Linked DNA regions of Diceros bicornis minor. The main gene of each other region encodes a partner of the protein of the gene in region 4 in a complex. Links are inferred from orthologs where the notes say so. Each region holds a gene or a part of one and is shown on either strand. Other genes may lie near its edges.

Evidence for each region.
Region 1: SF3B2 (region 4) and SF3A1 share a complex: the UniProt entries of both Homo sapiens proteins name them as parts of the 17S U2 SnRNP complex. The link is inferred for Diceros bicornis minor from reciprocal best matches to the Homo sapiens genes SF3B2 and SF3A1.
Region 2: SF3B2 (region 4) and SNRNP40 share a complex: the UniProt entries of both Homo sapiens proteins name them as parts of the minor spliceosome. The link is inferred for Diceros bicornis minor from reciprocal best matches to the Homo sapiens genes SF3B2 and SNRNP40.
Region 3: SF3B2 (region 4) and SF3A3 share a complex: the UniProt entries of both Homo sapiens proteins name them as parts of the 17S U2 SnRNP complex. The link is inferred for Diceros bicornis minor from reciprocal best matches to the Homo sapiens genes SF3B2 and SF3A3.

Annotation. Positions count from the first base shown.
Region 1 is NC_080774.1:23,863,179-23,871,238, forward strand, and holds the start of SF3A1 (splicing factor 3A subunit 1), read right to left. Parts: upstream 3,440-8,060; 5' UTR 3,356-3,439; coding exon 3,293-3,355; intron 1-3,292. UniProt on the Homo sapiens protein: Component of the 17S U2 SnRNP complex of the spliceosome, a large ribonucleoprotein complex that removes introns from transcribed pre-mRNAs.
Region 2 is NC_080752.1:46,266,475-46,273,916, reverse strand, and holds the start of SNRNP40 (U5 small nuclear ribonucleoprotein 40 kDa protein), read left to right. Parts: upstream 1-4,038; 5' UTR 4,039-4,053; coding exon 4,054-4,197; intron 4,198-6,436; coding exon 6,437-6,566; intron 6,567-7,442. UniProt on the Homo sapiens protein: Required for pre-mRNA splicing as component of the activated spliceosome. Component of the U5 small nuclear ribonucleoprotein (snRNP) complex and the U4/U6-U5 tri-snRNP complex, building blocks of the spliceosome.
Region 3 is NC_080752.1:51,927,670-51,935,914, reverse strand, and holds the start of SF3A3 (splicing factor 3A subunit 3), read left to right. Parts: upstream 1-4,982; 5' UTR 4,983-5,057; coding exon 5,058-5,153; intron 5,154-5,323; coding exon 5,324-5,371; intron 5,372-7,025; coding exon 7,026-7,078; intron 7,079-7,183; coding exon 7,184-7,289; intron 7,290-8,245. Other genes in the region: FHL3 (four and a half LIM domains protein 3), read left to right, coding at 1-23, 148-334, 460-614. UniProt on the Homo sapiens protein: Component of the 17S U2 SnRNP complex of the spliceosome, a large ribonucleoprotein complex that removes introns from transcribed pre-mRNAs.
Region 4 is NC_080770.1:7,249,012-7,256,705, forward strand, and holds the start of SF3B2 (splicing factor 3B subunit 2), read right to left. Parts: upstream 3,037-7,694; 5' UTR 3,019-3,036; coding exon 2,886-3,018; intron 2,719-2,885; coding exon 2,669-2,718; intron 2,163-2,668; coding exon 2,085-2,162; intron 1,051-2,084; coding exon 802-1,050; intron 587-801; coding exon 536-586; intron 1-535. UniProt on the Homo sapiens protein: Component of the 17S U2 SnRNP complex of the spliceosome, a large ribonucleoprotein complex that removes introns from transcribed pre-mRNAs.

The DNA.
Region 1 (8,060 bases), on a different chromosome or scaffold from region 4:
GGGCTGACCCCCACCGTTAGACTCCTCTAGGGTATCACTGAGAATATCGACTCTCTCCCATAGACTTCCCTTGATTAGGACCCGCTGCTCCAGAGGACTGGTTCTCTTAGCTGCACTGTGCTTGCATGGGACTCTCCCGGGCGACCAGTGAAAAGAGCAGCCTCCTTGGCTCCCATAAGCTGGACTGGCTCAGTGACACCGGGAATCTGCATTTTTACCAGTGCCCAGGTGATTCAGATGTGGAGGGGAACTGACCACATTCTGAAAAACCATGTTCCAGAATCCAGAAGGCCATGTCTGTATCCCCATACCCCAGGATGTGCCTAGCACAGGATATTTAACAATTGTTTGCTAAATAAAGAAACAGGAAACTCCTTGCTGGCAGCTCCTTCTGCCTTGAATGTCCTTTCCTTCTGCATCCCTTCCATAGTCTGAACCACACTCAACGCTCAAATGTTTTGTGAAATTCCACTGGAATACTCAACGTTAATTGTCCCATAAGTATCAATATTCTTTCCTCACTAGCTTCTTCTCCTTAGCAAACGAAGGGTCAAATCTCTCATCTTAAGAGAAATAAAGTTTCGGGCTGGCCCTATGGCTTAGCGGTTAAGTGCACATGCTCCGCTACTGGCGGCCCGGGGTTCAGATCCCCGGCGCGCACCAATGCACCGCTTGTCCGGCCATACTGAGGCCGCGTTCCACATATAGCAACTAGAAGGATGTGCAACGGTGACATACAACTATCTACTGGGGCTTTGGGGAGAAAAAGGGAAAAAAAAGGAGGAAGACTGGCAATAGATGTTAGCTCAGGGCCAGTCTTCCTCAGCAAAAAGAGGAGGATTGGCATGGATGTTAGCTCAAGGCCGATCTTCGTCACAAAAAAAAAGAAAGAAAAATCAAGTTTCTCCCCTGCCCTCACGTTCTTTTCTGCTGCTGCCTTCTCCCTCCCCCCTTTCCCCCCCAGCCCCGGAGCTAAACACCCTGAGTTCTCCCAGTCTTGCCATTCCCACTTCCTCACTTCCCATTTGGTCCTCATCCATTTCAAGTGCTCTTGCCAAAGTCAAAAACTGACTACAGTGGTGATCTGGCTCTGTGACCAGTGACCACTCCTTCACAAAGTTCTCCACTCCTCAACTCCCACACCCTATTCTCACCTGTCTTTCCTTCTTGCTCACCATACGTTCCAAGTTTCCTGCCTGGCTCCTTTCCTTCACTTCCTGCCCTATAACATCGAGCACCCCCAGAATTCTGTTCTTGGTTCTCTTCATAGTATTCACACTGTCCTCAGTGATGCACTCACAACCACATCCTCCATTTCCCGTACCACCTCTAATCCCATCCAAATTGACATCCCAGAGCTTTATCCAGCCAGACCCAGTTGACTCCTGAGCACTGTTATCTCTAACCTCTTTCCTGATGAATGGCCAACCATGTACCTGGTCACCCAGGCCAGAAACTTGGGCCTCCTCTCCCTTCCTCAGCCTCTACATTCAATGATAATAACATTTGTCAAGCACAGAATAGGTACCATATGCTTTCCTAAGCACTTTATTATTATTTTTTAAAGATTTTATTTATTTATTTTCCCCCAAAGCCTCAGTGGATAGTTGTATGTCATAGCTGCACATCCTTCTAGTTGATGTATGTGGGACGCAGCCTCAGCATGGCCAGAGAAGCGGTGCGCCAGTGCGCGCCCGGGATCCGAACCCGGGCCGCCAGCAGCGGAGCGCGCGCACTTAACCGCTAAGCCATGGGGCCGGCCCCCTAAGCAATTTAAATATATTAACTCTTATAACCCTCGTGAGAACCCCAGAAGGTAAGTCAGTCCTCTTATTATCCTCATTTTACAGATGACAAAACTGAGGAATGGAGAGCTTAACTGCCCTCAATGACAGAACCAAATTTCCAACATCACTTTGGCTGGAGAGCCTGTACTATGAGCCATTTTGTGAAACGAACTTGCTCAGACCCTCTGCCTCATCACCCATCCTCAGCATTTTTTTTTTAATAAAGTGACTAATCCTCAGTCCTCCTAGCAATTCTCCACATCACTGCCTACCTAGCTGAATTTCTGAAACACAATGTCACTATCCAGCTTAATATCCTTCATTTTCTCCCCGTTGTCTACTAGGCAAAGTTCAAATTCTGAGAATCCCATCTCCTGCCACCAGTTATCCAATGCTGTGCTTCAACCACACCTGTTTATTTACCCATGACCAGAGGGGCCATCTGATTCCTATCTTGGTATCTTTGCATTATTATTTGGTATTACCTTGTTTATTTTTCCCCAGTGACTGGGAAAACGCCAGGACACATGGGCACTTACATGTTTGTGGAAAGGGGACGGACCTCTTCTGTCATGTTCCCCACTGTATTCTGAACTCTAAGCAGTGGTTAGTATACAATATGTGCTCAATAAATGTTTGATGAATGATTAAAGAATGCTATTTCCCTTCCCCAACCACCTACCTGGTGAACTCTTATGCATCCTCCTAAAATCAATTTACCTCACTCCTGTGAGCTTCACCCACCTTAATCTCCACTCTATCTCATCAAAGCCACGTTGATTAGATTACTGTCTTACTCGAACCTGATACTTCTATTATAGAGACAATCACACCATAACGCAATTATTTATGCACATCTTTCCTCCTCACCTGTTTGAGATCTTTTTAAGGACTGGCTGGAACTGTATCATTTACACTGGCGGGGCAATAAACATTTGTTGAGTATTCACGTATAGCTTCCCACTAGTCGGTGAGCTCTCTAAGGCAGAAATTGTACCTCATTCACTCCGGTAACGTCGGAGCCTGGCACCGAGTCTGGCTTAGAGTAAGCACCGAACAGATGCTGCAAATTAACGTTAAAAGATGTACCCTGCAGGCTGGGAAATTATAGAGATTACTGGGCAAAGGCTGGGGGCCGGCAACCCAAATGCAACAGAAGACCGGTGGATGGGCCGGATCGGTGCTTCTCAAACTCGAATGAATCACCCTGGAATCTTGTTAAAATGCAGATTCCTATTTAGAAGGTCTGGGGTGTAGACTTTGTAATTCTACTAAGCTCCCAGGTGATGCTGATGCTGCTGGTCCGCGGACCACACTTTGAGAACCACTGTTGTAGTGAGCTCGTTGCGCTACCGGAAAGCAGCGTAGGAAGCGCGCTGCCTCCTGGGACTTGCAGTCCCTCTAAGCCCTCCTCAGCCTTCCTGCAAAAGTGAGGAGCGCCCGCGCCAGAGGGAGGGCCCAGGCCTAGGCTCGGGCTGCCGGTAGAGGTGCGGGGGACGCGGTACCTGTTTGGGCTCGGTGGCCACCGGCGGCGGCGGGGGCACCGCCTGCACGGGTCCGGCCGGCATGACTGCGACGCTCAGGGCTGCCAGTCCGCCTCGGTGTAGGTGAGCGGTGCTCCGTCAAAAGAGTTTCCCCTCACCAACAGTACGACAAGCTCGCAAGATGGCGGCGACCGAACGAGTCGTAGCCGAGGAGGCGAGGCTGACGCACTTCCGGTCCCGCCCCTATTCCGTGGCGTCACTTCCGCCCCTTCCGCGCATGAGGCGGCCCGCGCGAGACGCCGTTGCCATGGCAGCGGTCGGGGCGCCCGGCTCTGGTTTGTGGGAGATCCCAGGCGCGGCGGGCGCGCCGAGAGCAGTTCCATGAGCCCACCAGACACAGGGGCTGAGGCTGTGACGCCGGAGACTGGTGAGATGTTCCACATGGCAGACGCCCCCCGCACGCGCCCCCTCTCCTTTACTCCTCGGGTGGGTTCCTAGCTCCCTCCGACCCCGCCTTCTAAGGCCCCCGCTCCCTCCCATTGGCCTCTCTTTGGAGAGCCCCCTCGGGCCCGCCTCCTCAAAGCCCCACCTCCCTACTTCTTAAACCCTCTCTTCTGGTTCATGCCCACCTCCCCCAGGTTCCTTTCCGGAGTCAGAATCCCTAATTTCCACTGGTCCCTTTTCCTGTGGGCGCGCCTTTTCTGGGTTCCACCTCCTGCCGTCCATAGTCCCGCCCTCAAGCCTCATGGACCATCTCAAATCAGGGCTGCTTCTTGAGGCTCCACCCCTCACTCCCACAGGTGCTTCTGCAGACCACTTCCTCCGCTTCCCCTGGCCCACCTCGAATCCCACCTTTTTCACTTCCCCTCCTGATATCCTCTTCTCTCTGTCCCTTCTCCCCTCCCTCCCAACTCCGGAATGCGGGCCTTGCCTGGACTTCAATTTCCTCACCTGTGAAATGGGGGGATGATAGGAAAAAAATGGCCTCCTGTGACTCCTACCTGTTTCTCTCTCTCTTAGACACACACACACACCATAGCTGGTTTATGTCATTGTTGTTATTATTAATGTAGAATAATAATGATAGCTAGGATTTATTGAACGTTTACCGTGAGCCAGACCCTGTCCAAAGACTACGTGCATTACGTCATTTATTTCTTACAGCAACTTATTTACGGTTGAGGATAGTGAAGTTTGGAGTTGGTGGAGTGGGAATCCAAACCCAGGCCATTCTTACTCCTCTACTTGTGCAGTTACTTATTCCTTTGTCTTCAGTCAGTCCCTTCACTGTCCCCAGGGATCCAGGCAATTAGCAATCCTGAATCAGAGACTGACAACTACCATATTGATGGTTTTAGAGTTTCCAAAGTGTTTTCATGGTGGTCACCTGGAATCTCAGCACACTGGCCGGGAGGTGGGCATAATCTTTACCAGAGAGGTAGGTCTTAGGGCTCAGAAAGGGAAGGGGCTTGAATGTTGAACAGGAGTGGAGGAAAGATTCCTTACCTTCTCTGTGAATCAAAAGTCCACCTTGAGCTTGAGGGAACTGAGGAGAGGCAGAGTTAGCTGCTGTTCCTACCTCAGGCAGTGTTGGCTCAGTTAGGGCCATTGCCTGTGTGAGCTCGGGACCAGTGCAGGGCTGGCAGCTTCAGGCTGAGGGTTCCACTCAAGACCCAGGAATTACAGAGAAAGCTGTGTCAAATGCTCCTTCACTTGACACACACCTAAGTGGTTCTCAAACCATGCTTATATCTGCAAATCCCCAAAGTTCATAAGAAATGACATAAGGTAACCTTGGATATTTTTCAATGCTGTGTTTTCCTCTTGTATATTCTTGATTCTTTGGCATTTGCTGCTGCCTCTCAGAACTGGAATCTAACAGGAGTTGGCATCTCAGATGGCCCTAGATGGCCATAGTTATTTGAGGAACAGGTCAATGTTTCTTGGTGTCTTTGCAAGCAAGCGCTTGAGGTCCGGGTGCCACTTGAATACACCTTCTCCCAGGGTGGAGTTTCTTGCTTTCTTTATTTATTTCCTTCCTCCCATTCCAGGAAGGAAACTGGAATGTTTCAGTCTGTTGTTTTTTTTTTGTTTGCTTCTGCCTCATTCCTTGGGGACATAAAATCTCACAGGTGGCAATATCTCATGAGAGGCAGTCACCAAGGCACCATATGTGTGCGGGATGTGGGCCTGGGTGTGTTTGTGTGTGTATTTGAGTGTTGTGGGACGGCTACTCATCGCCCTGTGGGTGGAACTGACAGAGCTGACACACTCAAGACTTGTCCACTCCAGAGACCCTCAGACATAGATGGTGGTTCCTGGCAGATAGGGCTCTGTGTGCCTTGCTCTGTCCCTATTCTTTTTTTTTTTTTTATGAGGAAGATTAGCCCTGAGCTAACATCTGTTGCCAATCCTCCTCTTTTTTCCGAGGAAGATTGGCCCTGGGCTAACATCCATGCCCATCTTCCTCTACTTTTTTATATGTGGGACGCCTGCCACAACATGGCTTGATAAGCGGTGCGTATGTCTGTGCCTGGGATTCAAACCCACGAACCCCAGGCCACTGAAGCAGAATGCACAAACGTAACTGCTACGCCAGCGGGCTGGCCCCTCTGGCCCTATTCTTGCCATGGTGCCCAGCACGTAGTAGGTACTCAGTCACTGTTTGCTGAATGAACACATGAGATCTGAGCCTCTACACCTGCACTGTCTAGTCTGGTAACCACCAGCCTATGTGGTGGTGCATTTGAAAATGGTGGCTGGTCCAAATTGAGATGTGTTGTGTCAAATAGACACTGGATTTGAGACTTAATGCAAAAAAAGACTGTAAGAAAATCTCCTTGGGGGCCGTGGCTTAGCGGTTAAGTGCGCGCGCTCCGCTGTTGGCGGCCCGGGTTTGGATCCTGGGCGTGCACTGGCGCACCGCTTGTCTGGCCATGCTGAGGCTGCGTCCCACATACAGCAACTAGAAGGATGTGCAACTATGACATACAACTATCTACTGGGGCTTTGGGGAAAAAAAGGAGGAGGATTGGCAATAGATGTTAGCTCAGAGCCGGTCTTCCTCAGCAAAAAATGAGGAGGATTAGCATGGATGTTAGCTCAGGGCTGATCTTCCTCACAAAAAAAAAAAAAAGAAAAGAAAATCTTCTTGGGGCTGACCCGGTGGCACAGAGGTTAAGTGTGTGCGCTCCGCTTCGCTGGCCCCGGGAATGGCGGGTTTGGATCCCGGGCATGCACTGACGCACTGCTTGTCAAGCCATGCTGTGGCGGCGTCCTACATCAAGTAGAGGAAGATGGGCACAGATGTTAGCCCAGGGCCGATCTTCCTCAGCAAAAAAGAGGAGGATTGGCATTGGATGTTAGCTCAGGGCTCATCTTCCTCACCCAAAAAGAAAGAAAATCTCCTTAATAATTTTGTATTGATTTCATATTGAAGTGATAATATTTTGAGTATAGTAGGTTAAATAAAATACATTGTTAAAGTTAGTTTACTGGTTTCTTTTTAGTTTTTTTAATGTGACTAGTAGAAAATTTAAAATCCCATATGTGGCTTGCGTTATATTTCTTTTGGCCAGGGCTGCTCTAGAAGCAGCATAGTTTGAATACAGAGCATAAATGTTGGACTCAAGAATCCCAGCTCCCTCAGTGACCTTGGGCCAGCCCCTTAACTTTCTAGAGCCTGAGTTTTCTCATCTGTATAAAGGAAGTGGATTCAGGAAGTGGCACACAGTAGGTCCTGCAGTCAGAGCTAGCACTGTTGAAGTGTGCCCTCTGTGCTCAGGCTCAATGCAGGCCATCCCACCTGCCCTTTCCCACCCCATTCCTCCAGCCTGGATCACCCTCTCTTTCTTCCCGGACAGACTCCTGCCTGCCCCCCAGGGAGCCCTCTCTGAGTGTCCAGTCACTGACTGTTGCTTTCATTGGTTCCCAGGGACTGAAGAGCTGCTCGGGGCCAGCCCTCACACAGGATACAGGAAGCCAGGCACCTGGGTGATCCTCTGACCCTGAGCCCCAGAGCCCAAAGCCTAGTCCAAGAGCTCGACACACTCAGACATCCAGCTCCAGGAGCAGGCACCTGGGCAGAGGTAAGGCCAGGGCCCAGTCCTCTGGGAGGCCGGAGAGGCCTGCTCAGCTCTCAGGAACCACCCCTGGGTGCCTCTGAGCTTCCCAGCACCTGTGGGCACAGGCTGGCCCTCAGGTCCCTTGGCCCAGGCGTCCAGGTCATACTGCAGTGAACTCAAAAGACAGTCCATGTGCTCGCAGGGAGATGAATTGCCAACCGCAAATAATTTCTCAGTGATTCAGTGCCAGTGTGGTGTGTGCTGGGAGGGAAAAGAACAGGATGCTCTGAGAATGTGTACCAGGGGACCTCACCTGGCTGGGTACCTGAGGGAGGTATCTTATCAAGAGGAAGTATGGGGACGGGGCACATTCTGGGTGGTGAGAAGCTGAGATGGAAACAGACCACGCAGGGCCGGAGCTGGGGAAGTGTTCCAGTCTTTATGCTGGAGAAAGCTGATCACTCTGGCTGCCGTATACAGAACGGGTGGGCGAGGTTTTGCTGGGCAGAGGGAAGAGGGTGACCCCTCAGGGAGGCTGTGGCAGTGGCCTGGGGAGATAGTGGAGTGTGGAGTAGTGTCAATGGACAGAAGCGGTGGATTCTCAGTGTGGTCCGGATGTAGGATTGGCATCACTCACTGCTTGCACGTGGGGGTAAAGGAAGGGGATTCGAGGAAGTGCCCAGATGCACTCAGTAGGGGTGCTATTTTCTGAGATGAGGGAGGCT
Region 2 (7,442 bases), on a different chromosome or scaffold from region 4:
CTATTTAACTGAAAATGAGCTAATAGAGGTCAGCTTGACAAAGGCTGCCCACAGTTAGCCACGTTTGTACTAGACCCCAACACCTGTTCTTACGCTACTACCCCACACTGTTCTTTCAGTCAATAATCCCTAAGGTCCTTTCCAAGCTCTCTAACAATAATAGCTAATATATGAATGCTTCCTATTTGCCATGTATTAACCTAAAAGCTTTACTTGTATTAACTAATTTAATTCCCTTTTTGACCACCCTAAGAGATAGGCAATTATCGTTGTCATTTTACAGATGAAGAAACTAAGACACGAGAGAGGCTAAGTAACTTGCTCAAGATTACAAAACTATCAATGATGGAGACAGGATTCAAATCCTATTTACAAACATTTTTTCTTCCTTTTCTAGATTATGAAATTCTTCCAAGCATGCCGTTGTCTTGCACATCATATCCTTCAAATCTCTAGAGCCTAGCACAGTGCAAAGCACATAGACATTTCTGTCTACTGAAATACTGAAGTACTTAATTTTACCCTACTTTAAACTACCAATTCAGCACATTTATTGATGTTTATATGTCAGGCACTTCATAAACCTCCTTCAATCCTTAAAGCAACTCTACAAAGTAAGTATCCCTGTTTTACAGGAATGAAGTAACTAGTACAAAACTCATAGCTAGAAAGAGACAAATCTTAGGCCATTCCAAGGGCCACACACACTTGCCACTAAACCACCCTTTTCAACACAGTTCCTGTCCTCAAACACTTCCTAGTTTGGTAGAGATAATGGTGACCAATTACAATGCAGTATGATCAGTGCTAAAACAGCAGCTAGGTTCAAAGTACTAAGAAAACAAGAGGAAAAGAAGGGCCTAGGGGAAGCAGGGAAGTTTAAAAGGTAACAACTGAGTGGGCCTTTAAGGATAAATGGAAGTCCTCTGGCAGAGAATACTGTTCTTTGACCTCATTAGAACCCTGATCTATTGACTTCTATTTTCTTCTAATCCATCAGCCCTCTCCTTTTACCTCAACTTTTCTCTCTTTCCAGCTTAGATTCCACAGTCTATCATTCAAACAACACCCTGAGTTCCCCCTAACTCTCTGTCATTACGGCTCACCTATCTGGCAGTACCCCCACCAGCTGCAGACACCAGGACCCATTCTAGCTAGGTTAAGCAGAAAAGGATTTATTGCCAGGTATCGGCTTACAAAACTACTGGAAGGGCTATAGGAAGTTCTGGTAGAACTTCCAGGAACAACTCCTAACCCAAAAAATAACACAGTCTTTGTCACAATCAAGAAAGTTATGGCTATCATTGCAGAAAGTCACTAAACCAGAAAGCTGCTGACTAAAGAAACTCACTGCCTCTACCATAATATTTGCCAGCAAAACTGGATGCCTCTCACACTCCTTCTCTCCACATTTAACTCAGTTCCAAATTCAATTCTCATCTTAGGTGCAAAGGAGCCAGGAAATAGTTTTTAGCACCCCAGACTTTTCTGTAAGAGAAGGCACATTAAAGGTGGGAATGTGTGTTGAGCAAGCCAAACCCACGGTCCTTGCCATATCTGCATATGTTTTCTCCATGTCTGCATTGAGCCTGATGTTGCTGGAAATAAAATATGATCCCCAACTTCATATGGGCCCATAACTCTGCACGACAATTCTACATCTCTCTGGTAAACCCATTCTCCCACACACTCTACAATGATTTTCAAATCTTCTGCAACCTTCTCAAATCTCTGACTTCCTCTCACTCTAAGTATATGATCCTATCTCCTACTTTACAGAGAAAATAAAAACCATGAGAAAGGAACTCATTTTACCAAAACCAAACATAAGAACAACCTATATCTACTGCCTTCACTTCCTTCTTCCTTTCTGTTAAATGGAGGACTGTCCATCTTCCCAAGGCTGCTCCCTCTAACTGTACTTTGCATCCCATCCATTCCCATGTTCTCAGAACACTATCAATGACCGAATTTGTCTCTTGTGTATTCAATTTCTCCATCGCCCTCTCAAGTGGATTCCTGGTGACCCCTCATCTCCTTCGGCTTCCACATCCTCTCCTCTCATTTACAATCATATGTATGAAAAACACTCTTTAGATTCACTGCCTCCGATCCCTTGCCTGAATCTTTGGCTTCTGGCCCCATCACACCAACAAAATAACTCTCGCTAAGGATACCATGAGCTCCACGATGATACAGCCAACACACATTCTTCAATTCTCGTGTTTTTTAAATTCCAGTTTCTGACACTGGCCATTTCCTTGTTTCTGAGACAACATTCCTCTGGTGCTCCTCTCTAGCTCTTTTTTCTCTTCTTCTCCTGTAGGTTCATCCTCCTGTTCTTGGACATTAAATGCTGGAACTACTCAAGCTTCTGACTTAGGGGATCTTACCCACACCTATCGCTCAATTATCACCTATATGCAAATTACTCCCAAATATATATCTCCAACAAAAATCTCTCTTCTGAGTTGCAAAGCCATATTTCAAATTGCCTCCTGAAGTCATGAATGACCTCTCCCTTCTCTACCAATGAAATAAATACTCTGTTGCATAAGCCAAAAACCTAAGAGTTATCTGTGATTCCTCTCTTTTCACTCCCTGAATCCAAGCCATCGCCAAGTCCTACTGACCCTACCTCCCATATATCTCTAGAATCTGTCCAATTCTCTGCAGTTTCACCAATACTTCAGTCTACACCGCCAACAACGCTCACTTAAAGGGTCTATCTGCATCTATCTCTCTTCAGATCTGTTCACACTACTGAGCCTGAGGGATTAAGTTACCTCCTCCACACACTCCCTCCCCCTCAAAAAACTACCCTCAGTGGTTTCCCATCAGTCTTCAAATAAAAGCTACAAAGTCCTGCAAGGTCTGCCCTCTACCGGCCTCCAGCTTCATCTTGGACCATACTTCCCTTCATTCTCTTTGCACTGGCCACACTGGCCTCTTTGTGCCTTTGAGGCATTTTCCTCCCATTTGCCACAGGGCCTCTGCACATGCTGTTCTATATGGAATATTCTGCCTTCCTCTCTTCACCCAACTAATTAGAATTCTTTCTTCAGGCATCAGTTCAGGCATCTTCTCCTCAGACAAGCCTTTCTGCTTATTTCAGGCCCTCATAACCTCAGGCACCTCTCCTAGACGGCACTTATTTCACATTTCTCAGGGAGATCATTGTTTAACATCTGTTTTCCCCACCAGACTCGAACCGCTGAAGTCAGGGATCACATATCCTCAATGCTTTGCCAAATAAATATCAATTGGACGATTAAGGAGAAGATCTATTTCACAGGTATAAGTCCAAATTTCTCAACAAGACTGCTCTGGAGAAGCAAGAGTCGGACTTTTCCTCCGTCCCTGTCTCTCTCAGGGACACAGAGCAGGCCCTAGGAGAGGCTGCAGAATCAGTGGCAGAAACAAGTCGGCCTCCTCACTCAGAGAGGATCCAGGCCGTTTCTCCCCGGGGGCCTCCGGCACCGGACTGGACACAGTAGCCGCCTGCTGAAGGAGTCCGGCGTCGAGGTGCCCAGGCAGCCGCAGCGACCCCCAAGGCTCTGCTCCAGCACAGAAAGGAAACCAGGCTACTACCCCCCAGAGCCAGGACCTTGGGGCCCGCCTCCGCCCCTCGCAATCAAAACTTCAGCTGAGAATGGGCAGGCTCAGACCATATCACCGAGGCGCCGCCTCCAGATTCCGCAGCCACCCACCCCGACATTCCTCCTACTTACTCTCCGTCAGCTGCAGGTCCCCCGGCCGCAGCATTGCGCGAAACGCCGCAACCCAGTCAGCGCGGTTCCACCCACAAGACACAGCGCGCCTAGGCGGGACTGCAGTTCCATCCACCAATCCTGGAATCGTACTCTCGTGACATCAGAGACAGCTAACCAATAACAGGAGACTATCCAGGGGGCGGTGCAGAGGGGAATATTGGAAGTCGATTGGTTCCTCCAAGCCGGAAGTTCTAGGGGAAGGACTAAGTCGGAGCCAATCGCGCGGTGCCTGAGGGTGTCGGCGCGGTCAGTGGCTGCGCTAAGGAGAGCGGTTGCCGCCATGATAGAACAGCAGAAGCGCAAGGGTCCAGAGTTGCCGCTGGTCCCGGTCAAGCGGCAGCGGCATGAGTTGCTGTTGGGAGCCGCGGGGTCGGGCCCCGGAGCGGGGCAGCAGCAGGCGGCGCCCGGAGCTTTGTTGCAAGCGGTGAGTGAAGTGGCAGGCGGCCTTCCGCCCTCGGCTCATCCTTCTCTCTCCTCGGAGCGTTGCGCCGGGTGATCTCGCGGCGGCCCTTTCTCCGCGCTGTGGGGGCGGAAGGAGACTCGGTATCTGGAGTTAAAGCCGAAAACGTTGTAAAAGCGGCCGACACCCTGCAGATGCTCCTCACGTTTCCCCGTTTGACGCCGGTTTTCGGCGTCTCGACCGCCCTGTGAGGTGGCGTTAGAATTAGAGTTAAGGATCTTGAGCTCAAAACCGGCGTTAGCATCCTAAATCTTCCAGGATCCGGCGTAAACATTCAGAAAAGTTTGTAGAATGGATGGAGGAAGGAAGGAAAGAAGGAAATGAGTGATACTGGATCGCTTTGGGACTTTGGGCAAGTTGCTTTTCCCTTTATTTCTGTGCACTAGTATTAACAACTGAATAATAGCTAACCTTCATTGAGCCCTTGTACCAAGTGCTTTATATGTGAAAACTCCTTTAACCTTGGTAACAGCTTAAGAGTTAGGAACCATTATTATCCCATTTTGTAGCTGGGAAAACAAACTCTTATCTAGTAAGTGATAGAAACAGATTTTAAGCCCAGAATCCATGCGCTTAACTGCATTTCTTGTAGGTTAGAGATAATGATCACATCTTTCCTTCCGTGCTGTTAGGCTCGGATGAAGAAATACATGTGTGTCCCCCCTCTCTCAACTCCTCAACCAGCCGGTCGGCAAATCCTGTTTGGTGTTGTCCTCAAAATATATACAGAATTGCTGTGGCCTCCATCACTAACTTGTGGTCTAAGCTATTATTATCTCATTATTATTATTATATACTATTATGTTGTTATCTGATTATTGCTGTAGAGTCCTAACTGGTATTCCTGTTTCTGCTATTATGTAATCAGTCTATTCTCAATCCAGCAGCCAGAGGAGTTCTTCTAAACTGGCAGATCATGTTACTCTCTGCTGAAAACTTTCAGTGGCTTTCCACTTCACTCCGAGTACAACTAGAATCCTTACAGTCTTTTGCCGGCTTTGCCTTTACGTCTCTGATCTACCAATTTTCCATTGCTCACCCTGCTCCAGTGACACTGGCTTCCGTGCTCCTGCCTCACAGCCTTTGCATTTGCTGCTCCCTCTACTTGAATACTCTTCTTCCAAATGTGTGCATGGTTTACACACATCTCCAAATTTTTGCTCACATATCCCTCTTTCAGTGAGGACTGTCCTTACCAGCGTATTTTAAATTGCAATACCTAGTACTCACTAACCCACATTGCTGCTTTTTCTGTTGTACCACCATCTGTAGGTTCTAGTTGTTCTCTCTGTCCCTCCCTCCTTCCCACTAGAACACAAACTCCATTGTTTATTTTGTTCACTGCTGTTTTCCCAGTGCCTAGAACAGTGCTTGGCACGTAGTATTTTTCTTAATAAATGAGTAAGCTGGAAATTACTGAAGAGATTTGGGGATTATTGATAGTGTACTTATTCTTCCACTGACAAGTAAGAATATCAGCCCAGGTTTCGGTGAATTGCCCAAGAGTAGGCTTATGTTGAGACCATAATCAAAACTACTTTCCCCAATAATCTGTACCTTGCAGGGTTGTTGGGAAGCTCAGTTCAATCATTCATTCTTTAATTGAACTAGAGACTGGGAAAACAGTGTTGAATGACCCAGGCAGGGGCCCTGCACTCACAGAGCTTCTTTTCTAGTAGGGAATAAAGACAAAATATGTAAACAAATACATAAGGAGGGTAATTTCAGGTAGTAATAAGTGCTGTGAGGGAATACAGTAGGGTTCATGGACTAGAGGGGCAGTGGGGCACTGCTTGAGTTTGAATGATCCAGGAAAGACTTTCTGAAGAGGAAACATTTGAAAGGAGCCAAACACAGGAAGATCTAGGGGAAGAGGATTCCTGTCAGGGGCAACAAAAGTGTAAAGATCCTGAGGCAGAAATGAGCTTAACATGTTTGAGCAATTAAAAGTTGGCTATGGGACAGGAGCAGAGTGAGGAAGGAGGAGTGTTAGTATAACAGGTAGACCCTGGAAACCTCAGCAGGAGAGTATCAAATTGGAGGTGTAAGTTATGTGAGAAGAGCTGTCATTCTCTAAATCAGAAGAAATTCGTTCACTCATTGTTTCCCTTGTCTTTTTCCTCCACCCACCCCCGCCTCCACAATTGTGCAGCCTCCTTGGTCTGTATGCAGTGACTACCCTGTACCTCTCTCTTTTGTGTAGGGCCCTCCAAGATGTTCCTCCCTTCAAGCCCCAATCATGCTTCTCTCAGGACATGAAGGGGAAGTGTACTGCTGCAAGTTTCACCCCAATGGATCCACCTTAGCATCTGCAGGATTTGACCGACTAATATGTAAGGCATAGTTTTTGAATCTGGAGTGATCGCTCTCTTCCCGATAGTGATTATTTTTAAAACCTTCAGTGCCACAGAAGGTATCAGTCTGAGTTGGTCACATGACAAACTACAGCTAACATGCTAAAATAGGATCAAGAAAATGCTGAATAATCTTGGGTGTAGAACTTGGGGGTCCATGTGGTAAATACAGAAGGAATTACGTTACTAGTTAGAAGGTGAGTTGCTGTAGTTTGAGACTATCTTCCTCATGGAGGCAAATCTTGAGCTGATTTTGCAAGATAAGAGATCCATGTTTAACAGGTTAATGGGAGTAATAGAGAACTTTTTCCCAAAGGTATGAGGCTCTCCTCCTGATCCACTTTCAGAATCTTAGCATATAGGAAGGAAGGAAGGGATCCTAAAGTGACAACTCGCTTGGATAATCTACCTATACATCATTAGGATCTGCTACCAAATTCTCAGCTACTAGTCGGGAATACCCGTTTTTGAGGAATAGGTAGAAAAAATCAGTTTGGGGAGTCATTAGGAAAAGCAAGAGAGAAGATAACAGAAACATCTGACTTTTTGCCTTCTGGCATCGTTTGCCACATTGTGAGATGAATTGAGTCCTTTGGCTCTGCTTATAACTCTGTACCTCAAGGTGGATGATATCTGTCTTCAGTGTTTTGATTTAGATGTTCTAGTTCTGTAATCCTTAAATTTACTGGTCGGCCGAGTATCTGGAAGGCTTAGGGATCTTTGCAGAACATCCTTGAATTACTGATATGCTTAATTTCATCAAACAAACTAGAAACAGTTTTATCAGCAGAAAAATAACTACATATGTACCTTCTCCTGTGTGAAGGTGCTCCTTAATAATACTCACCAAACTTC
Region 3 (8,245 bases), on a different chromosome or scaffold from region 4:
CTCGCTGCGCCCGCTGCAGCAAGGTGGGGGCGGGGCCCGCAGGGTGGGGGTGCTGATCGCCACCTCACTCAGAGGTGGAGGCGAGCAAGGCTCTGTTGTGGGGCGGGAATCCCCACTCCCCACTACTGACAGATGCTGCCCCCACAGACGCTGACACAGGGTGGTGTGACATACCGTGACCAGCCCTGGCATCGAGAATGCCTGGTCTGCACTGGGTGCCAGACACCCCTGGCAGGGCAGCAGTTCACCTCCCGGGATGATGATCCCTACTGCGTGGCCTGTTTTGGAGAACTCTTTGCACCCAAGTGCAGCAGCTGCAAGCGCCCCATCACAGGTGGGACAAGGGTCCAAGGACTGAGTGGGTGGGGGCAAGCAAGGAAGTGGCATCTGGTATTGGGTGAGGCTGAGGGGCAGGACTGCCCTCTAGATCTGCAGAGCTAACCTCCAGCCTCCCTCCAGGACTCGGCGGAGGCAAGTATGTGTCCTTTGAAGACCGCCACTGGCACCACAGCTGCTTCTCCTGCGCCCGCTGCTCCACCTCTCTGGTGGGCCAGGGCTTCGTGCCCGACGGAGACCAAGTGCTATGCCAGGGCTGCAGCCAGGCGGGGCCCTGAGTCTGGGCCCCAGGCCCTCCCAAACCAGGGCTCCAGGACTAAGGCTCCTTTTCCAAACCATCTCTGGGATCCAGCCCCTCCCCAAATTGGGGCTCCCCCTGGGCTCCAGGATTCAGCCTCCCTACTCCAACATCCCCCAAACTGGTACTCCCTGACCCAGGGCCCCCAAACCTGGGCTCCTCTGGAGCCTCTGTGATTCAAATCCCCTCCCCAAGCCTGGACTCCAGGACTCAGCCCTCTCCTCTACAGTCTGGGTTCCCAGACCAAACCCCCTCCCCAAATCAGGGCTCTAGACCCCCAGCCCTCCAAACCTGGACTCTGGGACCCAGGCCCCCTTCAATCTAGACTTCTCTCCCAAGACTGTAGGTCTCCTATGGGTGCCTGAGCAGTCCTGCAAGGTGGACTATCCTCAGGCTTGACCCTCCCCACCCCATCCCACCTCTGTCCCCAGGGCTGGGGCTGTCTGGGCAGCAGAATGGGTTCACTGGTTAGGGGGCCCTAGGGTACAGGGTTTTGCCCAGCCCGTGTCCTATGAGTGTTTTCTGATTTCATTTCAGTTTCATCTTGCCCGGAGATGGGCAGAGGGGTGGGATCGGCTCACCCCCTTCCAGATTCTGCAATAAAGCAGTGTGAGGAAGTGAAGGCCTGTATGTGTGTGTTTGCGGATGGAGGGGGAAGGAAGGTTTCTTCGCAGACGGAGGGACTCTGAGGATCGTGGGAAATCTCGCCCGAGAAAGGGGATCTCCACTGCTGTCACTGTCCCTCTCACGCTAAGCCTACCTTCCCCCTGCTGGCGGAGGGCGTTTTCCTCCATATGGGGAAGGGAGGGGTTTGAGAGAGGCTCTGGACCGGAGCGGGGGTGGCGGTGGGTTCCCAGGTCTGGTACAAATCGCCCCCCTCCCCTAACAGCCCTTCCCAAATCCCGCAGAGCACCGGGTGCGGATGCCCAGCCTGGACCCAGACCCTCGGCCCCCTTCCCCCTCTTCCCGAGGATTAGCGGAGGCGGCCCGGGATCCGCTCGAGGCCGCACGTTTTTTGCCAAAAAAGGCAAGGATGCAGCTGCACGCGCCGCGGGAACATCTGGATCCGATTCCCGGCATGAATGGGTCATGGCCCCGCCCCCCCGTGATTCAAGGGCGGAGGCGGGAATGAGCGAGGGGGGCTGCCCCCCAAAGTGGGGAGATGGGGCGGAGCGCTGCTCCCCTCACCCAGCGTCCCATGCCCCCTGCCCCTGCCCCCTCCGGGGCCTGCGGTCTGGGCTCCGCGGCGGAACCGCCGGAGTCCGCTCGTGCGCACACTCGGTACGCGCGGGCTCCTGCGCTCACCGTCCCGCCCGCAGCCTCCGGGGGTGGGGGCCCGCGCCTCGGGGTGGGCGGACCCTCGCGCCCTGGGCAGGAGGGGCCCTCGGGCCCGGGGCAACCGCGTGATTGTCTGTATCTCATTTTCAATACTCCCAGAAATCCAACGGGGCGGGCATTTTTCCATTTCACGGAGGTGGAGACTCGTCAGTTCCCCAACGTCACATAGGTAGTCACTGGTAGCTCTGGGATTCTAATCCGCTTCACACTGCTTTCCCTAATTCCAATTCTAAACTTTCTGAGGCCCTGGTTGACATTTCCAACAAACCTTTACGAATACCCACCGTGTGTGTTTATGATTAATAATTAGACATTCCACATTTTTGTCTCTTTCTCCCATCAGCCACTTGGAGGATTGGGCTCGCGCCTGCCTTGCTCACCCCTCCATCCTCAGGTCCCGGCACTTACTACATGTTCAATAAATACTTGTTGAGGAGGAGGAGTCCAAGCATAGAAAACAGCTGGCGCAAAGGCCTGGGGGCCTGAAAAACCATATGGTGCTTTGGGGAAGCAGCAAGTAATTTCACTTGGAGGAAGTGCCAAGAGGCTAAATGGCAGGCAGAGCCCAGGTCAGGAAGAGCCGAATGCCAAGTTAAACAGACCTCACTCTGCGGGTGAAGCAGCCAGTGGAAATGTTTAAGCAGGGGTGAGATGATCACTCTGGCTGCAGCATGAATAATGGATTGGAGGGTAAGATGAGCAGGCTGGTTCCGAGGCTAGTGCAGTGGTCAAAGTGAGAGATGATGAGGCAGGTGGCAGCAGGAGCGGAAAAGACAGGACTTCGTGACTGGTTTGATGGAGTGGGGAAGGAAGGCATCAAGTAAGTGGTGTTGCTTAGGTGGTCCATCTACCTAAGAGGAAGAAATTTGCAGGTACAAAACCTTGGCATTGATTTCAAGATAAACGTTTTTTAGATTTCACATCTCAGAAACCTAGAAGCATTGTATCATCATATAATTGTATAATCATTATATAACCGACACAATTTGACAATTTTTTTTTTTCTTTCTTAGTGGAACATGGTGGGGTTAACATTTGGCATCTGGTATTCGATGAAATACAGTAGATCCCAAACCTTACCAAAAAAAAAAAAAGGTTCATCTCTTCATCTCTCTGATCCTGAATGGAGATCTCTTACTTTTTTTTCCTCGTGGTGCAGGAAAAGCCTGTGGTGAGGAGTTATGCCTGGAGTCCTCTCCCTAAGGTTGTTCAAATTTTTAGACATAAAATACCCTTACAACACCCCATGAGCAAGCAAGACAAGAGTCATTATCCCTATGTTATTTTTAAAATTAAAAAACAATGTATGCTTATTGTAGAAAAATTGGAGAATTCTAAAAAGTAAAGGGAACAAAAGATAAATCACTAACAACTCCTTGATATATTATAGCCTCCTAGTTCTTTTTTGTTAAGGTTCATGTGCATATATGTATTTTCATTTTTAGTTTTAAGTTTATTTTGCAATTGAAAAAGTAATACATGTACATGTTAAGAAAAAAACTTTTCATGCTCTCCTTTGGGTATATACAAAGAAAAATTTCCCTCCTGTACCAGATCTTCCAGGCTATCTCCTCATAAACAACCCCTGTTTACTGTTAGTTGGCTATCCTTACAGAAATAATCTGTTTGTGCATCTATTTTTATACACACTGTTGTGCGTCTAGCTTTTTTCACTTTGTGTGGCCATCTTTCCCTATGAGTTCATACAGATTTTTTTAACAGCTTTATTGAGGTATAAGTTACATACCATAAAATTCACCCATTCACAGTGTACAATTCAATTAATTTTAGCAAATTTAATACAGTTGTGCAACTATTGTCACAATCCAATTTTAGAACATTTCTGTCACCCACAAAAAGATTTCTTGTGCGCATTTGCAGTCACTTCCGTTCTCACCTCCAGCCACAGGCCACCACTCATCTACTTTCTGTCTCTATTGATTTGCCTTTCTGCACATTTCATCTGGACCTACAGAATATGGTCTTTTGTGTATGGCTTCTTCCACTTAGCATGACGTTTTCATGGTTCATCCACATTGTAGCATTCCTTTATTGCTGAATAATATTCCATTGTATGGATAGACCACATTTTGCTTATCCATCCACCAGTGAATGGATTTGGGGGTTGCGTTCTGTTTTTGTTGATGATGAATAACGGCGCTATGAACATCTGAACATACGGACACACGTTTTCATTTTGCCATCTAGAAGTGGACATATAGACTTGCTTCATTCTTTTTTTTTTTACGGCTGTATAGCATTTCACTACTTTGATGTACCATATTTTATTTAATCAGTCCCCTGCTGTTAGACAACTAGGTTGTTTCTGCATGTGAATTACTTTAAAAAAAAAAAAACAGGGGCCGGCCCGGTGGCGCAAGCGGTTAAGTGCGCGCGCTCCGCTGCGGCGGCCCGGGGTTCGCTGGTTCGGATCCCGGGCGCGCACCGACGCACTGCTTGGTAAGCCATGCTGTGGCGGCGTCCCATATAAAGTGGAGGAAGATAGGCACAGATGTTAGCCCAGGGCCGTCTTCCTCAGCAAAAAAAAGAGGAGGATTGGCGGATGTTAGCTCAGGGCTGATCTCCTCACAAAAAAAAAAAAAAAAAAAAAAAAACCCTATCATCCCCATTTTACTGACAACGACACTGAGATCCGGAGAAGGGAAAAACGCTGTCAGAGTTCACACACAGTAAGGGTCTCAAGTTCCGGTCCCCCAACTCCCATCCATGCTTTTCCACTACTCTTCAGTCCACAGTGGCCCTGCCTGCTTGGCCAGGAAGCCCCGGGAAGCCGGCACTTCGCCTCAGGTTCCGGGATTTCTGTATGCCCCCTAGAGGCACCTGCAAACCGCTCGGCGTCGCGCCACCACACCTCCGGCCAGCAGGGGGCACTGCTGCCATCTCGATAGCCCAGACTGGCTCTCCTTTCGGTGCTCACTTTTCCTCGAGTCCCCGAGGCACTTCCGGTACCCGCGGAACTTCAGTGCGGCCGGACGCACAGCGTGGGGACGCGGGCGCGCGAGGCGGCAGGAGTTGCTTCCGGCCGTGTAGGTGGTCTGAATAGAGGTCCGGGGGCCCAGGGAAGATGGAGACGATTCTTGAGCAGCAACGGCGATATCACGAAGAGAAGGAACGGCTCATGGACGTCATGGCGAAAGAGATGCTCACGAAGAAGTCCACGGTGAGTGGGGCCTGGGCGGGGGCTCCCTCTGAGGCCGGGCCCATCCCGGGTTGACCCTCTGACCCTCCCCGCGCCCCTCCCCGGCCCCTCCCCGAGCCCCCGCCTTGGTCCCCTCCTCCCGGGACCCAGCCCTCCGAGCAACGGCGCCGTGTCCCCGTTTGCCTCTGCAGCTCCGGGACCAGATCAATTCGGACCACCGCACCCGGGCCATGCAGGACGTGAGTACCCCCGCCGACCGCGTCGGGCTGGGCGGGATGCGCGGGAAAGGCGGGGAGGCGGGTGCGGCCGCTCAGCGGGAGCCCTGGCCAGACGTAACCGGACTGGCCAGTCGCGGGTTGTCGGCCTGGAGATGTCCACGCGGCGCCCAGTCCCGAGGGTGCCTAACTGCCCTTCCTCGCGTCTCTGAACGGGCGACTCGTACTCTTCTCCGTTACTCGGAGGGACGCCCCTTCTTACAGTATCCTGTGTCCCATGGATGTCTAGGGAATAGTTATTAGAAGTCAGTGACTGGGGCCCAGAAAGTACTACCTCTTTTGCCCGGAAGAGAATGCTGTCCGTTAGTGTTTTCCTCCCAGAACACTGATTTGAAGTATTTGTGCCTACCAAACTGCTTTTACCTGGTAATAGTTTAATTTCTTACTTTTAGAAAACTGATAAATCAGAATGTTGGTACTTATTAAAGTTAAGTGATAGGTAAATGGAGGTTTATATACTATGTTGTCTGCTCTTGTATATGTTTGAGATGTCTTTAGAAAGAAATAAAAGACCTCATCAGAGTTTCTGATTTGCAGGAGATAGTCAGTCTTACGAGCCCCTAGTTCCTTATCTAAATTCCCAAATCCAAAATACTCTGAAAACAAAGGGGGTTGTGAGGGAGTAATTACTTGGTGGCAGAATCTCACTTGATCTCATTTGGCAGCAAAACCTGACCTGAACAGATGAGAGGCTTTTGTGGTCTTTATCTCACTTAGTAAATATTAGGTGAGTTTCACTGCAGAACTATTAATATGTGTTCCAGATTCCACTAGGGATATTACATAATATATAATACCTTTCTGAATTTAAAAATTCCAAATTCTGAAACAAATCTGGTCCCAAAAGCTTTGGAGAAGGGGCTATGTACCTGTACCATCCTGAGTTTGAATCCAAAGGAAGTTTATTTAGCCTGTACATTCTTCAGTCAAACTTTTTGAAGTAGTGAAAATCATCTTCGACCACCCTTTTATCTTTGAGGGTCTTAGGTGGGAATTGCTGTTTAGCAAAGGGTGACTGTCTTATATGGCTCTCTTTGATGACTCTTCTAGAGAAAGTTAATCATCAGTAACATGTAAATATAGGAACTCGATGCCACCCCTCAAATCACATCACTTAGGTAATCTTCAAATTGGCCTGTTTTAAAAACTAATCAGGAACCAGTGCTGTCTGTTAAAGGTACTAGAAAGCACAGGAACTCTTTTTTTTTTTTTTTGAATATTTATTCTGGTTTTTTCCCCAAGAGTTTGCTTTTATTTATTTATTTTTTTTGTGTGAGGAAGATCAGCCCTGAGCTAACATCCATGCCAATCCTCCTGTCTTTTTTGCTGAGGAAGACTGGCCCTGGGCTAACATCTTCCTCTACTTTATATGGGATGCCACCACAGCATAGCCTGACAAGCAGTGCGTCAGTGCACGCCCCGTATCCAAACCCGGGCTGCCAGCAGTGGAGCGCACGCACTTCACCACCACGCCATGGGGCCAGCCCTCTGCACGGGAACTTTTAATACCACATTTCCCCAGGTTTCCCTGGGCTCTGACTAGAGAGTCCTTGTTGGTGGCTTAGCTCTGTGGTTGTACAGATTGCTTCATTCTGATGGGTTTCTGTTTGCCTTTCAGAGGTATATGGAAGTCAGTGGGAACCTGAGGGATTTGTATGATGATAAGGATGGGTAAGTGACAGTCACAGCCAATGCAGGAGTTAGTGCTTTTGAGGAGCCATGGTTAAAGGACTGACTTTGTGCTCTATGTTCTTTGGATTTTTCCTGCAATTGCAGGTTACGAAAGGAGGAGCTCAGTGCCATTTCAGGACCCAATGAATTTGCTGAATTCTATAATAGACTCAAGCAAATAAAGGAATTCCACCGGAAGCACCCAAATGAGGTATGGCCTCAGAAAGTGTTTTCTCCAAACCTGCCTGAATAGCATAGTAAAGGAAAATGGAGACGTGCTGCTCAGATGTCCCATCAGAAATGAACTTGCCATTTAGCTGCAGGGAGCATCATTAGCTGACATCCTGCAGCTCCAGTGCGTTCATGATCCCCCTCCGCTTTAAGCCAAGGCCATTCTCTTCCTGGGCCACCCCCAGCCAGTGACTTGAGCACAGTGGGGGTACTATGGCCTGGCTGGTTCTGCCCAGTGCAAGACTCTTCTAGTGAGTAGTCTATTCCAGAGCTCCCCGTTGGATTGGTCAAGATTTTGTCCTGTCTGCGTCATGACCTAGGCTCTCCCTGCCCAATTTTCCTCTCTCCTTTTTATCTTTCATGAGTATTACCCTCCAATAAACTGCCTGTGAATGTAACTCTGTCTCGAAATTTGCTACCTAGAGGACCCAATTAACACAAAGGGCTTAACTCACTTCCAGGGATCATTACACCTTCAAGACTCAGCCCAGAGGCCAACGCTTCCATGAAATATCTTTACTAGTCTACCCCTCCCAATTAAGCTTTCTTTTCTTTATGGTCCTCTCGTATTTTATGACGATGAATGTCTGCACCACTATATTGTAAGATTATAAGGAGCAGGGATTATGTCTCAATTATCTAGAACTGATTAAGCATCTTGCACGGCTGACCAAAGGAATTCTAGGTGCAGGGGGAGAATTAGAGAGAGAGTCCGCCATTACTCTGAGCTTTCATGACTGTGTAGCTGGGAAGTTCTTTGTTCCCTTCATAGAAACAGGAAAGAGGTAACCTGTTTGCAGTGGAAAATGAATTTTTATATATGTAGATTTTCAGGTGATGTTGTATCTAGGTAGAAGTGTCCCGTGAGCAGTTGAAGTTAGGTGACTGGGGCTCAGGCAAGAAGTAAAGACTTGTGATTTAGATTTGATAATTATC
Region 4 (7,694 bases):
CTAATAATCCTGAGTAACTCAACCAGGTAACAACCGATGCGACCCACCTCTGGGGCTGCATGTCTTATGTATCATTCTGTAACTTATATCTATCGTGTTTAATCTAAATCTGATACAAATGACTAAATTAGCCCAGAGTCCTCTCTAAGGTACCTAAAATGATACCATGTAAGACTAGCAGAGGTCTGCAAACTTTTTCTGTAACAGGCCAGACAGTAAATATTTTAGGCTTCATAGACCGTTGTATGGACTACTGTATAGACTTAGTTTTTTTTTTTTTCCCCCCAAGAGTCCTTTAAATATATAGAATCCATTCCTAGCTCGCAGGCCATACAAAAACAGGCCGCAGTCCATAGTTTACTAACTCTTGAGCTACAGGGAAGAGAGAATTATTTGGGAGATACTGGAACTCAGTTGAGGATGACGTAACCTCCATGGAAAACCTGAATGGTGCATCTTGTTTTGGACACTAAGCACTAGAAGTGACAGCCAAGAGACTAGACCATGGGGTCAAAGGTTAGGATAAGGGCATTACCCGCTTCTGCTGCTCCAAGAGCTCATGTTCCTTCAGTGAATGATCTCCCTGCTTAAAAAAAGAAAACAAGCTCATACCAGCACCAATACCCCACAGGGCAGTCTGCCACAACTCTGCTTCCTGGGGTCCTTCTCCAGCCTAGGGCCCAAGTTCTAGTCTGTGGTCCAGACCTTCCCAGAAGGCTTGGCTCCAAGATCCAGCTCTGAGGCTCTACTCCCCATTCAGGACCCTGATGAGACCCAGGCCCAGGCTGCCACCTGGCCTACCTGCTTGGCACGCTCCTCTTGCTGCATCAGCAATGCTGCCTGCTGCTGCGCCAGCTTCAGGCGCTCCTCCTCTGACAGTGCCACAGGCTCACCCACCCGGAGAGGAGGCGGGGGCCCTAAGTTTGGAGGGCGGGGTCCAACGGCCATAGGAAAGCCAAGGCCAAGGCCTGGTGGAGGTGGTGGGGGTGGTGGAGGAGGTTGCAGAGGGGGGAGTCCCATGGGTGGTGGTGGCATGGGAATCCCAGAGAGCTGTGGAAAAAAATATGACCATAAACTAGGAAGTATTTATCTATTGCAGACCGTTCTTTTTTTTTGGTGAGGAAGATCGGCCCTGAGCTCACATCTGCCAATCCTCCTCTTTTTTTGCTGAGGAAGACTGGCCTTGAGCTAACATCCATGCCCATCTTCCTCCACTTTATATAGGACGCCGCCACAGCATGGCTTGACAAGCGGTGCGTTGGTGTGCGCCCGGGATCTGAACCGGCGAACCCCGGGCCACTGCAGCAGAGCACGTGCACTTAACCGCTTGCACCACTGGGCCAGCCCCTCTACTGCAGACATTTGTTGGGGATCTACTATGAGACAGCTGCTGAGATTCAAAGTCAAATGATACATAGTTCTTGCACTCAAGAAAAGAATACTCGATAGCAGTATCGAGAGAAGAGGATGCTAACTTTGGGGCACCAACCAACGAAAGCTATGGACTCTCTCCCCAGAACAATACCACGAACACAGACTTGGCATACAATTTCAGGAGATTCAAGGAGACCTCTAAAGACTATCTAGGGACTCCTCATCTCCCACACAGAAGTCAGTGGACCCCACGTCAGAGCCACTGCTCTAGAGAAAAGGAGTCAAATCCTGGATCAGAAAGAACATGGAAGTTGAGAGGACTTAAATAAATGGGAGCCAGTGTGCCCTGATGACTCAATAAATGTAGAGGGTATCAAATCAAATCAGGAAGTGAGCTCTAAGGTCTCAGTGAATAACATGGGAACTGTGCCCTGGGAGGGCAAAGAAGAGGGTGATTACTTCCAGCTGGTGGAGGATCAAGTCAGGCTTCCAAATACTAAACAGAATCTTAAATGACAAGTAGAATTTTGAGGAGCAGACATTGGAGGAGGAGGCAAAGATCAGGACCACCAGAGAACTGAAGAGCTCCCAATTCTATCACCGCAGTACCCCCCTACCCAATCTGCTAGTTGCATCCACAGTACACTGCATGTAAAAAAAAAGGCTACCCTGAGCAAAAGGGATCTTATAAAGTGGAACAACCTCCTCACCTGCGCTGACATGGGAGGGGGGGCAGCTTTGTCCCCATCTTCGCCTCTCAGAACCGGCCGATTCAGCACGATGCCAGTCTGCAAAAGAGAAAGGACTCTAGGTTGGTCCAAGAGGAGCTGTTCCAATAAACCACGTTCGCTCCCATTCATTCAACAAAATTTACCCAGTGCCTGTCTGCCAGAGGTCCGACTGGGCACTGGGGAAGAAGGTAGAGGTACAGAACAGAGGGGTAATCCCATGAGTGGCAGTAGCATGGGAATCCCAAAGAGCTGTGAAAAAAAATATGACCATAAACTAGAAAGTATTTTTCTACTGCAGACATTTGCCGGGGGTCTACTATGAGACAGGTGCTGGAATTCCAAGTCAAATGACACATTGTTCTTGCACTCGACGTGAGCAGGGACCTGGGAACAGGCACAGAAGCGATTACAACAGAGCAGGTAAAGGCAAGCACAGGCAAAAAGAGTAAGCCCCCACTTGGCGTGCTGAGGTACATAAAGAACGAAGACTGCTCTTCGTGAGAGGTCATGAAGGTCTCCTCCAGAAGCTCGGCCTATCCTGACGTCCCGCTGCCAACACTGACCTGACGGGTGTAGGTCTGCAGCCGCTCCACCAGCTCCTCGCGACTCCCTGCTGGGCAAAGCACAGGATCAATAGGGTAGGTCAGGCCGAGCAGGCCAGCCGGCCCAAGTCAGGCCCCAGCGTCCGGCCTCCGCCCCCCGCCTCCGGGTCTCCGGGGTAACCAGGCTCCGCTTCCCCGCAGGCCTACGCTGCCGGCTCTTGACCTCCGTGTTTCTCACCCTGGATCGGAGCTCCGATCTCTGCCAATTTTGCCTGAAGCTCCTGGGCAGCCCAGGCGCCATAGTGCCCAGGAGGCGGCGGCGGCGGCAGCTGCAAGTCTCCTTTCGGAGGCTCAGGATGCTCGGTCGCCATCTTAGCCGCAGGAAGGCGCGCGACCAACCCGGAAGCTCGGGCCAGCCGCAGGCACACGTCCCGAGACTTCCGGCGGCGCCGTGCGCCACGTCCGCTCGCGGGTTGGAAGGCCGTTTGGATGGAGGCTCACCCACTGCGTTCTGCAGCCGTCCCTAGGCGGCCTGGTCGCGAAGCCTTCTGGGAGTTGTAGTACGCAGGTCACGGCCTCTGCCCGCCCAACTCCCGGAGAACCGTGCGCGCCCACAAGCCCGGGAACACTGGGGGCCGGAGCGGGGGCGGGGCTGCGGGGAAAGCTGGTCCCACCCCGAGGGCGTGCTTTCTGCGTCGGACCGGCCGGAGCGCAGACCGCTAGCCTTCCGGCCCGACTCCCTGGTCAGGCGTGAGAGGTCCGGACGCTTACGTCCCCGGGGAGTCCCGAACTACTCATTCCCTCGGCGGCCGCGCATTGCGGGCGCCAGGCGGGAGGTTGCAGCCGATGCCTGTGATAAAACAGTGTCTGATTGTCTGCCCGTCCACCCCCGGCGCAGGCAAGGATTGAATGGGCTGAAAGGGGATCGGAGCCGGGAGAGGAGCGGGCCGCCCGGGCTGGGCTCCAGCTGCCAACCTGGGGGAAGGGCCACACTAAAGCCCCTTTTCCCACCTTCCAGGCTGGCTCAAATGTCGTCTCAGCCTTCTCCGGCTTTCCTTCTCTTCCTTGGAGTTCCCATAACACGTTCAAACCTCCACCATTTGCTTTGAAGTCTTGCCCCTCCTCCCCTCTTCCATCCCCAAGAACGTGAGCAGAGATCTTGTCTTTTTACTGTCGCGCAGCACCTGGCGTTCAAGAGGCGCTCAATAAAAGATTACTGAAAAAAAAGCAAATGGAACAGTCTTTCTGGCGACAGGATTTGCGTCTCTTTTAGTCTCGAAAATAAACTCAGGACATTTTCTTTCCTCGTTCCCATCAGCCTCTAGGTGGGGTCCACCCTTCCTCGGCACCAGTGGCCTGTGCGCCTGAGGGAGGGATGGGCAGGTGCCCTTGCCTGCCCAGCTTCCACCTCTCCCTGCCCTAACCTGTCAATTCGGTTTCTCTCCCCACCTCTGCCACTAGCTCTGAGGTCCCTCTCCCATTCTAGCTCTGCCCTCTCACTGACAGCCAGGTTCACTGCCTGTGTGAGTGTGTATGTGTGTGTCGGGTAACAGAGCCAGGAAACTCAAGTGAAGTGGTCTCTTTTTCCCCACACACCCGCACCCTTCAGACCTTCTCTCCAGCATGCTCCATTTCACTGACTGCCCCCAACAGAGGAGTAACTGGGAACAGGGGGGGAAAATGTGGTGCCAGGTCCAGGGAAGGTGAGGTTTAAGAGAGACAGAGGAAACGACTGGGCCAGGACTGTTGCTCACATCCCGGCCCTGGCTAGGAAATTCTCTTCACTCCTCCCCAAACCATGACCTTTCCCTGTTTCATCACTGCCACCATCCCAATCTCCTGACACTCTCAGAGGAGAAGCTAAAGCCAGAACGGACAGACAAAAGAAGAATGGTGCCCTCCCCCTAGCTGGTCAGCCCACTCAGGCAGAACCATTCCTGACCCAAAAGAAGTGTTTTTCTGCTCCCTGTAACCAGAGAGCTGCTGGCAGCTCCTCTGAGGCTGGAGGCCCCCAGGCATGTGTATGTGCTGGGGAACAGGAAGGGGGTCTCTAAGGCAGGATAAACTAAGAGCTGATGGGTGAGGACGTAATGTAAGTAGGGCCAGAAAGGGAGGGATGGGCCAAGTGGGGCCTCATTTTATCATAAGCCCTGGGACCCAGGCAGGGTAGGACCCCCCCATTGTGCATAGGAGAAGACTGAGGGGCGGAGAGAAGCTGACGTGCCCAGGGTGTCAAACTGGGACCACAAGCAGTTCTCCTGACTCTGAGAGTCCCCATTCCTTTCTCCTCCTTAACAAGGACCCTCACACAATACCTACCTGTGTGGCTGTGGAGTGGAATCCAGTCCCTTCCAGTCGCAGCTTTGGGTGGCTGCCCCAGCTCCAGGATCCTTGTCATACCAGGCCTAGAGGGCAGGAGAAAGCTGGGGTCCATGAGAACCCCAGAACTAAATGCGGGGCTCTTGGTGTCTGGCGTGACTTTGGGAAGTGCTCCTGCCCAGCTCCCAGGTGGTAGGAACTAAGGGCTAAGAAGGCAGTAGAAAATTCAGGACCACCCCACACACATGGGAGTTCACAGAGAGCCTTCACATGTATCCTCTCTGCAGTCTCAGAACAGCTCCCCATTCTAGAGCTGGAAGCCTTCCCAGGGAGGTGCCTCTTGACTCTGGGACTTAAGTTCAACCGGGGTTGAACTTGGGTTCTCTGATTCCCAGTACAAGGTGCCTGGGCAGGGGTCCCAGGGCCACTAAAGCTCTAGTGGGAAGTGAGTGGGTCTGGAGTCCTGGTGGAGAGTAGGAGGGGGTCAGTAGCAGGGGGCTGCCTCAGGGGCTGGAAGGGAAGGGGTTCCCAGGGGTGTGAGGGCAGATGGGACCAGACCAGGGGCCAGAGCTGTGCTTCTCTGCTGGAGGTTGAAAGAGGAGAAAGAGAGGAGGGAGGGAGCATGTGGGTGCTGGGAAATGTACCTGTGTCTCTAACTCCTCTGGGACCCACCAGCCAGCCCAAGGTTGACCAGCCGAGCCCAGGAACGCCTAGCAATGCCACAGTACCCAGATACCTTCTGGGCCTCAGTTTCCCCTTCTGTAGAGTGAGGGCAAGGAGCTGGTCACATTGGTATCCAGACTCTGCAAGATTGCCCGGGGAAGATGCCTGCATCCGAAGACGCCACTGGAGAGTGTTAACTGGCAGTCTGCGAGTCAAGGCTGCCCCCTCCTCTTCCCGCTCCCCTCTCCCTCCCCCTCCTGCGCGGCCGGGCCCCCGCCCCCGCCCCGCCTCCGGTGTGCGATGGGGGGCGGGCGGCGGGCAGAGCTGAGAGGAGCGGAGCCGAGCGGACGCCGCCACCTGATCCCATCCAGGCGCGGAGAGGAAAGCGACCGGCACTCGGCACGCAGGGCCCCCGGCGCCCTCGCATCCGCAGCGGATTTCGGGACAAGGGTTCGGAGGTAGCGGCGACCGGCGACCACCCCGGCAGAGCCCGCGCGCCGTGAGTACTGCAGTGGCCGGCCTGGGGCGGGGGTGGACCAGATCGGGATGGGGGATGAGGGGTGGGCGGGAGAGTGTCGTGCGGGCCTAGTGCCTGGAGAGCATGAGATTGGGGGCGCTCTGTCCCCTGGGGAGTGGGAGAGGGAGGGGTGAGAGGGAGAATCTGGCCTATCTCCTATGGTGACCAGACCCCGGTGACCGGATCCCTGGGAGAGGTTGCAATAAAATTGAGGGAATGGGGGCTTGGGGGATAGTGATGGAGAGAGGAGGATGAAGGGAATTCGGAGGCAGGAATGACGGGCCCGGTGGATGGCAGAGAGAGGGGGCTGGTTGGGACCTGGAGCCGGCTGGGGGGAAAAAGGGAAGAAAAAGAGGGAGGTGGAAAGATATTTGATCTCCTAGGCCACTAATTCGAAGCCCCCTCAGCCCTTGTCCCTTTCCTCTCTAGTGCCCTAGGCAGTTTCCCTAATCACTGGGCTGTGCCATCCTCAAGTAAGGATGGAGTCTCCAGGTCATCCAACGGTCAGGTCCAGGTGTTCCAGGCCAGGGCACCCTCCTCTTCTAAAGGCACCAGTATTAGCCCTAGAGCTTGGAGGAGAGAGAGAAAAGGGTTCATTTGGGAGTGGGTGGGCGTCCAGGCCAGTTTTCAAAGCTCTGGCTAGCTATCCCCTTTCTTCTTTGGTTCCCTGGAGAAAGAAAAGCAATTTGCAAAACTGGGCAGTAGCCTGAGGTAGGCTGTTCTGACTAAAATTAGCACTGATATTCTGATGAGGCTGGGCACCCTGACCTGTCTGGGACGGCTGTGGGAAACTCTCTTCGTGGAGAAGACACGGGGGAGGCTGGGGAGTAGTTTGAAGCATGTGAGGTGCAGGAGCCAGGGCCGTTGCTCTGAAGCCTGCCCCGGACCGCCACCCACCCTACACCAGCCTGGAAATTACACATAGAAACCTAGCCCCAGGTGGCCCCCTTCCCAGGTGCCAGTGCCTTGACTGCATAGGGAGAAGAGACATTGTGGAGTGAACTTGCCAGGGAAGGGAGGCCTCCTCCAGTGTCCAAGCAGCACCCTCCTCGGGACCTGGAATGTTGAGGCTGGCCAAGTGCCCACCCAGAGGAGACAGGCTTACTGCTTTCAAATACCTGAAGGTCTGTCATGGAGAAAAATGGTCCATGTGGCCTAGGAAGGCAGCGCTAGCAACCATACAGAGTGGAAGGTGGAAGGAGACAAGCTGAGAAAGGCACTACCAGCAGTAGACTAATCCTAGTGTCCCAGAAAGAACTTCTGAACAGCCAAGGCTGCTCAGAAATGGGCCAGGCTGTATCTGAAGGTGATGAACGTCGCATCATTGACCGTGGCCAAACAGAAACTGGTGCCCACCTGGGAGGGCTGGGGTCCAGGGAATTCTTGCACTGATGATGCCCTGTTCTAAGTGGGCGTCAGACTGGGGTCTGGCTGGCTGGGTCCCCAGGGCTAAGCCATGGAGGGGAGTGGGATAGAGGAGGCCACCAAGTACCCCATCACCTTCTCTGTGTGGCCTGGTTGAAGTGTCTCCCAGGGAAAGGCCCACTG